Drosophila melanogaster: one gene and its partner. The gene in region 1 interacts genetically with each later gene. Each region holds a gene or a part of one and is shown in the gene's direction. Other genes may lie near its edges. The genes, in order: Fas1 and bif.

What was found.
Region 2: of Fas1 (region 1) and bif, changing one enhances a phenotype caused by changing the other (phenotypic enhancement), as found in Drosophila melanogaster (one study listed by BioGRID).

What each region holds. Positions count from the first base shown.
Region 1 is NT_033777.3:16,623,204-16,628,431, forward strand, and holds the start of Fas1 (fasciclin 1), read left to right. Parts: upstream 1-2,034; 5' UTR 2,035-2,139; intron 2,140-2,765; 5' UTR 2,766-2,908; coding exon 2,909-3,013; intron 3,014-5,228. Other genes in the region: Ccdc114 (Coiled-coil domain containing protein 114), read right to left, coding at 1-126, 200-708, 839-1,134, 1,193-1,417. UniProt on the Drosophila melanogaster protein: Neural cell adhesion molecule.
Region 2 is NC_004354.4:11,677,004-11,682,125, forward strand, and holds the start of bif (bifocal), read left to right. Parts: upstream 1-1,966; 5' UTR 1,967-2,286; intron 2,287-3,840; 5' UTR 3,841-3,849; coding exon 3,850-4,111; intron 4,112-4,714; coding exon 4,715-5,122. Other genes in the region: Vlet (valette), read right to left, coding at 662-1,346, 1,400-1,431.

The sequences.
Region 1 (5,228 bases):
GGGTTCGCTTCCTTTCTCTGGTCTCCTCCGCCAGCTGCTCGATCCGCTCCTTCTCGGCATTTAGATAGTCAAGTGCCTCGGTCTTAAGCTTCAACTCCTTCTCGGTCTGCTCCGATTTCTGGCGCTCTGTTTGGATTATTATGTACAAATTTTAGTATAAAGACTAGTCTATAGCCTAATTCAGAATCCAACAACACACCTATTTCATCTTGGAGCTCCTGAGTGGAATCGTTGAGTACTTCAACCTCGTGACTCAGTTCGTTTACATAGTTGAAAAGGGCAAAGTTCTCGTCCTCCTGACGCTTGAACTGGGCCACCAGTCGGTCCGCGTCCTCCTCGCCGTAGAGCAACTTGATCTTCTCGATGATCTCCTTGTACTCCAGAAGCTGCCTCTCGTAGGTCTCCTTCTGACTCTGCTTCTTGTCCAGCTCGCGCTGCTCCAGCTCCGGATTGAGGCGCTTTTGTCCCTTGATGTCGAAGAACTTCTGCAACTTGGCGTCGTGCTCCAGGCGGCGCTGCATCTCGCGCATCTCCTGGATGTGCATTACCTTGTCGTTCTCGTTGCGATCCTTTAGGACGGTCAGCTTGTTGCACAGCTCTTCTCTCTGGTCGAAAGCCAGTGTCGACTGGTCTATGAGATCCATGATGAACTTCTTGCCCTCGTTAAACTGGGTTACCATCGACTGCCACATGTCATTGAAGTTTGCCCTGGAGTGGAGTCGAAACGCATTAGCTCAATTCGGTATAAAAACCTAATAATATGGAGAGCACCTAGTTGACTTTTCATAAACCTAGTGTGTATTTTATAGATTGTATATATCTAGCGAGAAATGCTCACCGATCCTGCAACATGTGGTTTATGGCGTCCCTCATCTTGCTGTTTTCAGTGAGCACATCGCTGCATTTTTTGTTGACGACATCCAGGCGGTTCTCCAACTTGACCACGCTCTTCTGCACCTTGCAGATGGTGTCCTTGTAGCAGTTGTCGGGCACTTCGTTGCGCCGCAGGGCATCAATCTCCTTTTCCATTTTCCGGATGTGGCCCTCCAGTTCCCAGAGATTGGTTCGCTCATTCTGGAGCACCCTCTGCAAATCCGCCTGCTGTTCCTGCAAAGTGCCCAGGTGCTTCTCTCTCTGAAACCGATGTAAACCTTTTATATGTGGCTGACTAGTCCATTAAGTGGATATCTACATTGGTGTTCTTTCGCGCATGAGTACCACCTTCTAGAGTCTTGATCTCCTCCTTCAGCTTCTGGTGCTCCACTTGCAGTACGTTGATCATGTGATTCTGCTTCTTCAGGCGCTTGGCCTTCTCCTCGAGGAGACCCCGAAGGTCCAGCTGGAGACCCCGATGCTGGCGTTGCAGCCTCTGCAGCTCGGCAGTTGCCAACTGATCCAGCTCGCTTTGGTCAGTCATCGTTATTGGCTTTCTGAATTCGGTCTTTGCAATGGTATTGTCAAAACTGATAATGATATTAATTTGATTTCAATAGCAAACAAGCGTTGCTGGTGGCAAGTTGCTTAGTAACGGCGTGGTTTATCGAAGACTTTTACCATTTACTTAAAGTAAGAAGAACCAAATAGGTACACTGCTTGTTAAAATTCAATGTTATCTCCTTAGAAAAGTAAAAAAATAAGTGCTTGAAAATTATAACCGGTTCAATTTGGAATAAAATCTTTCAAACAGTAGAGACTCTGCTTAGCGGAGTTATCCACCGCATTCTGTCGTTGCCACATTTTGCGAAACGGTTAAAATGATTATTTATGCTTTTAAACGAAAAATGAGAAAATTTAAAGCAGTCTTCTTGTAATAATAATAAGATTGGATAAACAGACATTATTATAAATCTGACACAGAAGAGCAACGCAGCGCTCGATTTGTACTAATATTTTACCTCTAACAAGATTCGGAAAAGCATAAAAAGCACATAAATAAGAGTCACCGCCAAAGACATGCACAAATAAATATAAATGTTAAGCGATTTATTAACAGTGCACAGTGTTGCGATTTGAAACATCGACAGCTATCGATAACACTCGTTATCGTCACCACACGCTCGGCTTAAACCTGTTCTCCGCTTTTCGTTTTAATTCGAAAAAAACGTTCGAGCGTGGCGCACGTTGCGATTCCTCCGACTGGTACTTGCTCCCCTTATATTGAAACTCTGTGGAAAATCTATACTGTGCATAGGGCATAACTCTAAAATAGCTGCACGGCCCATTTCGCTGCCCTTGCTATTGATTTACCACCGCGCTGCGTTCGTTTGTGTGTGCTACTTAAAGAATTTGTGTGTTTTCCAAGTTTGGTCCGTGGACATTGCATAATTTCTGCGGCGGCCGTTAATGTTAATTCCTGCAGCCCGAGTTTCCGAGAATTACGCAGAATAAAGACCAGAGAGAAAACTATAAAATCGAAAACAGAAAAAAGTGCCGCAGCAGCGAAATGCAAAGGCGCATAATAATTAAACACACAGCGACGGAATGAAGAAAAAATAATACACAATAAGCGCAGCTTTGTTTCTAGTTAAATTGCGTTTGTGTTGTGCTTGCCGATTCCTCGGTGGTCCGTTTTTCGCTTGTTGTTCTATGTGACATAACGGAACTCTGGGCAAAAGCGAACAGGAAGCAGCGATAACCTTGCAAAAACAAAGAAAATACCAAGGAGGACAAAAAGCATGCCAAGCATATATCTGTGAAATAATATTTTCTTTTCCGAGGAAATGCTGTTTGTCGTCGGCTAACTGTTGTTTGCCTTTGAATTGCAGATCTTAATCGTAGAGCAGCACTCACACCAGCACACGCCCCCCGCAAAACAGCACACACAGCCACACTCACAAACGACGTACACTGCCAGCGCATAAACAAGTGCTGTTGTGGTTGTTGTTGCTGCTGCTGCTCGTCCGCTAAAATGCTGAACGCTGCAGCGCTGCTTTTGGCGCTGCTCTGCGCCGCGAACGCAGCCGCCGCCGCCGATTTGGCGGACAAATTGCGCGATGATTCGGAACTCTCTCAGGTGAGTCAGAAGAAGAAGAAGAAGCGAATAACGAGAACGTGGAGGATGAGGAGGTGAAAGGAGGTGGTAGAGTAAGAGCACGAAGAAAAGCAGTAGCAGCAGAAACAGTTGGTGCAAATAACCGAAACACTTGTCCGTAGTCAATTAAGCCCCCAGCACCACCCACCAAACGTCGCCCCCCCTCCCCCCGCTCACCCTTGGGTACAGTAGGGATTGCCTGCCATGAACATTAGTAATCCTTTTCTATCTTTGCAACCGATTAAATTAATGCGAAGAGTTACACTTCGAATATTTGTCAAAAGTATGTTTGTTTAGGTATCCGTACGCGCAACATGTAAAATTTGAACACATTCAGGGGCTTTTATTAGTCTAATATATCATTTCGTTGGAAAAGTATTTCTTAACTGCCTACATTTTATACAGTAATCAGTCGCATTTTTTCTGTAGCCAGGGAAACTGCCAAAATTAAAATAACTTTTGTGTGAGCAAAAAACAAACTATTTTTAGCAGACATTTATGCGTTTAAATAATTTTTTCAGCCTTTTGAATATGTTTCATATATTTCTGTGATGCCTTAATTTCTTCTCATGGTCGGATACCTTATTGCAATGATAAAATCAATTTTTTATTATGCCTGACTTGGCTTTGGCGAAGTCAATAAATTTACCTTGCCACCTAATAGTGGCAACTTATCAAAGTTCGGCTGTAATTGTGCCACCACCCACAAGACGCCGCCCCAATTCGTTGGCCTTGAAAGGAAAAGCCTTGGTGGAGTGTGCGAGGAGGCGGGGCAGATCGGGCGGGAAAAAGGAGCCTGCGCAAGAGGGACGCACCCGCATTTGGGCACAGGTAGCGTAGCCTTCGTTCCGGCAGCATCGTCCTTGACCTTTAGCCATCTCACTTGTTGTTGGACTGCGGAAAATCGATGATGCTGCCTAAAATCCCTGGCGGCAGTTCAGGTCCAGCCGACCGCTAAGCTCCACTTGGCCACATTTCGTATGCATGGCGGAGTTCGTTATGTAAAAATGAAAAGCCACATAAATTAAGCCCAGGTCTGCTGAATTGGCTCTCCCCAGCAAAAGGCAAATGGTAGAAAAAACGCCGGCCGTTGACGTCCACTGCGCATAACAGTTTTATATTTAGTTTTGCCTTTTTACACCTTCACAGGCCAACTCACATACAAAGTACATAGAAAACAAAAACACATTAATGTGTAAAAAACTCAGAAGCCAACAAAGGTGCGCGGCTGAAATAACAAGAACAACATGTGTAATGAATTCAAAGGCGGGGGTTCAGTCACCAGAAGGGGTATTAGCATTACACCAGGAGAAATATATATATATTTTTTTAATATGTTAAGGTTTATGGTAGCCCATTAAGCCACATAACTTATACTCAAAAAATAGAATTGATTTGAGTGGAAAATAGTAACATAGTTCGTCTATTGTAATTGCTTTTATCTTATATAGTAGGTGAAGTAGTAGTTGAATACGCGTTTTTAAGTAACTGACTTGAGTCCCTGCTTAATTTTCTAGTCTGCCTTAACACTGCATTTAACACCCGAAATACACGCTGCTTCAAAAGTAAATTAGACTTCCAAGTAAAAAGAAAGCGTGTGACAGACTGTAATTGTTGCAGCAAGTGTCTCAGGGAAGTAGTTGCATCCACACAGAAAAGGCAACCTTTTCGAGTTACAATAGGCGAAACAGAGCGTACAACTAAAAAAAATTAAAAACAAGAAGGGGGACTCGGCTTGCTCACTTGCACCCTTGCTTTAGGGCATTGTAACTTTGCCCAGAAGTTTGCCACTTTCGGAGCAAAGCATTTCCGGCCTCATATCTGGAGTACTGCTATACATGAGGGTGGGACCATTTGGTCGCCATAAAAAAGTAAGGGCGGAAAGTAATCTTCTGGCATTTATGCAAATTAAGTGCCGTAAAACTAATGGATCAAAAAGTCAGGCTTGGGAAATCCCTTTTAAAGTTACTTCTTAAGACTATGAAATAATCATTTTATTAATAATATGTCGTATTGCAGGTAGCTGCTTTCAATCCAATCCCCTTTTTAAATTTTGCGATTTATATATTTTCTCAGTTGTATTTAAAATGTAGACAAGACTGGTTCAAAAGGGTATCTCCATCTTCTAAAGTCGAAGTCGGGCTTCTTTACTCTGGTGCCTGCACTTCTCATTACATGCTGATGGCTTAGATAAATG
Region 2 (5,122 bases), on another chromosome or scaffold:
GAAAAATACAACGAAGCCCCTAATTTGAATACGAAGCAACCCAAAATCCCCGCCCTCCCGTAATAACAATAAATACATATGCATAATTATGCAAAAGTTTGAGAAGATGAAACTAGAAAGTCTGTATAATGCATACATAATATACGACTCCATTATACACACACACACGCATACTAAGGCCGATGAATAACATATGCATATACAATATAGACATATATTAAATATATATCATTGTAATAATTTGTAATGTTTATCAGTAGAATTATGATCCGAGGTGGAGCAGACGAGTAAAACGCATGCAGAGATCCATTAAAGTGTACTGTAAAATGTGCCACACATTGTTTTATCTAAATTTATTAAAGGATTTATTATTTTGCAGAGGGTAAGTTCTAAAACTTAAAAACTAGTCCTGTTTGGAAGATCCTAATCATTGCAACGTTTTATAAATCAAAGCCGAACTCTTACTCTAGTAAAAATTTGGCTACGTTCGGAAAATTAGCCAGAACATAGGAAAAACCCTACTGAATTAAACAAAAAAAAACGTGTTTAACATTTGGCTACGATCGTGTTAGTATTGCATACTTTTAGGTCCATCTTTTTGCACAGAGTTTTGTGTGAATCAACAATAAAATTGGCACTGGAATTGGTCGATGGCGTCCCACTACTGATTGCCAGGCGCCGTTGCTCCTGTAGTCTTCATGGCCAGCATGGCGTCCAGTTCGCCCTGGATGCTCTCGAACTGATTGTACAGTTCCATTAGTTCCGGTTGTGTCATTTCGATGTTGATATCCTCGCCGACGGCCGTTTTCATTTGGAGCACGGCCAGCGGGGTCTTCTCCCGCTGCTGGCAATGCGAGGAGATCTCCATGTTGAGCTTCCAGGCCACATCTTCGATGACATTTGATTCGTACCGCTTGCTGGCCAAATTGTTCATAATGGGCGTCGTTTCGCGCACCCACAAACGCAATATGGCATCGATCTTGGCCTCATCCTCCAGCTGGAGTTTCTCGCGCAGCTCACGCTGCAGCAAACTTGGCTTGATGATAAACGTGGAGATGCGACGCAGGATGTAGGAGAAGGTCTTGATCAGCAGCAGGAAGTCCTGACGCGGTACGCCCACCAATCGCTCCAGTTCCTCGAGTGTGTACTCCGGTTCGGTGTTACTTGTGGGGTTCTCCTCGGTGCTGCTGTCCACCCGGCCGGTGGTCGTCACACTGGTGCCCACTGTACTACTGGTGGCACTCGCCGATGCTACGCTGGGACTCATCTGCCGGTGGGTGTAGAACAGAACCGTCGTAAAGGTCTCGTAGGGCAAGGCATTGATGATTTTGATGCCCTCACGGGCTCTAAGATATAAATGCAAGAAATTAATCTCTATAAGAACATTGATATTACATACCTTTCCGTGATCTTTATCCAGTTAATGCTCATTGTGAGATATATTTAAAAATTTTTAAGGAACATAGAGTTATTAAGTCTTTACCAGCACTTCTTTTATTATGACTTTAATATTATTTGTTTATACAGACCAACAATATACAAAAAACTATCGACTTGCCACGGTGCGGTGCTGCCACACAGTTACTACTGCCAATAATAACGGTAAGTGCTGACTAAAATACAAAAATATTACATTTTGCGATGTGATTTTAAACATATTCTTTATTAATTTTTTAGATTTAAATGTTTTATTAAATTAATTTATTTTTCTGTATTTAGGCCTGAATAATTTACCTTATAAAATTACAATGTTTTAAATAATATTTGCTGTTATGTTTCCTGCAAAATAAAATTCGTGAAAAAAAGCCGCACCAGCAAATATCAATACCAGATTGTCGACGGCACCGACGATCGACGATTCAATTTGTAGAAGATTATCAAGTACGAATAGTTTTCCAACTCATTAATATAATCGTCCTACCTGGCAACTCCGCTGATGCCTATCGATGCTCCGCTCGATAGCGCCAACAATCGATAAGCAGTATTTGTGTATTGGAAACGCGGCTTAACTTAATGCAGATTTTTCCGCTGATTCGGCTGCGAAAGATGCACTTTTAAGGCGCAGCGAGTGCACCCACGCCCCGAGTTCGAGTGCAGTTGCAGTCGGGAAAGCTTGACAAGTGCGCGGAGCAAGGAGAGCGACGAGTTCGTTGAGCTACAGCGAAACGGAAAAGTGTAAAAGCGGGGTAAACAGGCGCAGCGGAGCGGATGATAAACGGAACTCGGGATCGGAAAATTGGAAGCAAAACCAACCACCGATTATAAAAAATAGTCAGCATCTTAAAAGTAAGGATTTCAAGCTAAGGTTTCAGCGAAAGCCCGAGAAAAACAAAAACCCCAACTAAACTAACGGAACAGTGCGTCGGGATATATGCATGTGTATGTGGTATACGTATGTGTGTCTTTGGCTGCGTGCGATTGTATTGTTCCTGTGTAAATAAACAAAACCCGGCTCTTTAGTCTTCCACTAGTTCGTTTCGCGTTTCTCTGCGAGGAATTTTTGTTGAAAAAACTCAATTTGGCATAGCATAACTTCCAGTTTATTTCCCTATTCTGCAAACTGTGTGTATCAGTGTGCTGGTGCTTCCAGCATGCCGTAAAAATCGATAGCGCGTCGTCGGTTGTTTATTTTATGCTTCGTCTGCATTTTGCAGCCCCTTTTTATCGCTCTCCCCTTTTCAGCCACCCTTGCACACACTCACACTCTCTCCGGCGGAGTCGTGTGATGCATACACACACACACACACAGACACATGCATACGCCTGATACGGGAAATTAAAAATAATACTTTTTATCGCGGCATGCAAAAGGCAAAGCTGCAAAAACAGAAACAATTCCAATTCCAACAGCAATAATCTAGCCATGCAATCAATTTTAGCCAAACAATAAAAAGAATCGTTTGGTTTCAGTTTCCCCGCTTTTCTTTTCCGTTATTTTCCTCTCTATATTCGGTTTTATCGCATTTTCCGCTCATTATGGCAGTTTAGCATATTTATGCTGGAAAAATATTGGGGTTTCTTCGCTTCTTACCTTTGTTTTACGTTTTGTTTTGCTGTCGGGCTGTAAAAACAGCAGTTAATCCAATTAAGAAAAATAAAACTCTAAATGCCATCGCCACCACGAATTCGAAATCACCTTTTATCTACTCAAAAGATATTCATCTTATTTATTTTCCAAGATAAATGTTAAATTATAAATATATTATAGAACCATACACTTGTTGAAATAGAATTTCTGCTAACAGCTGCGAGTTTTACAGTCATAACTATTATTATTATTTATTAACTTAGATTTCTACAGGCTGCGATTTTATAAAAATGATTCAATTTTTTATCTAGACTTTGTTATTAAAATTTCTACATAAGCAGAAAATAATTGCTGCAATGACAAATATTTCATTTTCAGCTTGTGTTTATCGTAGCTTATTTTTTGTTAAATGTATATTAAAGTATTTACTCCCCTTCTCATGTAATATACATATATTGAAAAAACAGTACTTTTGTCTATTAGAATATATTTATACCCTCACTTATTGGTTCATCTCGAAAACTGGTCGAGTAAACTGAGAATCTTGAGATAGTTTCTTGAATTGGATATAATTTGCATGGTTGGCCAATCTTTTGGGTCGGCTATGCCCGCCTCTTTGCTTCGTAGAGGAGCTTGGGCACCGGGCACTTGCAATTGGCACCAGCTTCGGGCCAGTCAGTCCGCCAGACTTGGTCTTTGGGTCGAGATGTAGAGCTGGATAGTGTGCCACACTATATAGGGGATACTACTGCGATACAGACACCGCGGACACGGCTGACATGCATTAATGCTGCGAATAATGCCTATTGCAGACGGGGATAATGGAGTCACAGAAGCGGCCTTCGTTGGACTTACACACGGATGTGCCAGCAGGATTAGCAGCTGGAGGATCTGGCCTGGGAGCTGCAGCTGAGATGTCGCCCACTTCCGGTTTCCTGCCGGACATGCCGCAGTGGAAGAAGGACCTCATCCAGCGCCGGAAAACGAACGTGGCCCGCACCCAGGCGGCGTCCATCACCTCGCCCACCGATGGCAGTTGTGGGGCTTTGGCAGAAGCCAACGCAGCTCCAGGTGCAATTGCAGGTGAGTGGTGGTTGGACAAACTGGAATACTTTCACCTGACACGCAAATTAAAGGTATTTTCAAGCCAAGCATTTCTGTCAAGGCATGTTAGGTGCAAGTATTCGTATTTCTAATCGCTATTTCTTGCATTCTTGACAAACGAAATAATTGCACTTACTTTTGAGCTCCATACTTATCCCTTTTAAATGATACCGTTCGGTACTTAAAATAAATTCAACGAACTATAGACTTCGGAAAGGTTTTTAAAATATTTAAAAACTGCCGTAGCAAATAGTAATCAGGGTGAAATATATTGACTGGAAAAATGCGAAAGACTAATTGTGACTTACACAATCTGCAATTGCTCAGTTGGCGTTAACCAGCCATGAGTAATGGTAACAAGTGTTTTTAATTCATTTTGCCAACTTTTACGATTTCCAATACCAGTATACTTTTAAATTAGCCGCCTTACATATTCGCTTATCGATACGATATTCGCTTATCGATAGCTCACAGAGTTGTCAGATTGCGGACGAATAAGATAAAAAAAACCAAGTTATGTTTTAATGTTCTGTCTTTATAACATTTGTATTTGCTTTCTTTCTTCAATTTTTTTTCTAACAGATTTCACAGAACCGGCGACAATCAGTAGCACTAGTCAAAAGAGAAACATGATCGGTTCAGAGGAAAAGTCTGAGAAATCTTCTATTTCCAATACCAATTCCGATTCCACTGGAGGTCATCACTCTGTTGTTGCCGTCTCCCTTTCGCCCGATGCGGCAGCAACAACAAATGTAACAGTAACACCAATACCAAAGCAGCGATCGAGTTTACTCAACACAAGAAGTCAGGAGAGGGAGATGGTGCGATATATTCTAAGCGAGAGTGGAGAACGGGATGGAGAGCTTGAGAGCGGCGAACAGCCGGCTGGTGTGGTGAGTAACAGCCGGTGCGGTGAAGTTGAAACTGGCACAATTGGATCGCCGTCGTCGTCAGCAAATCAAAATCCAAACCCAAATCATTTAAAAACGA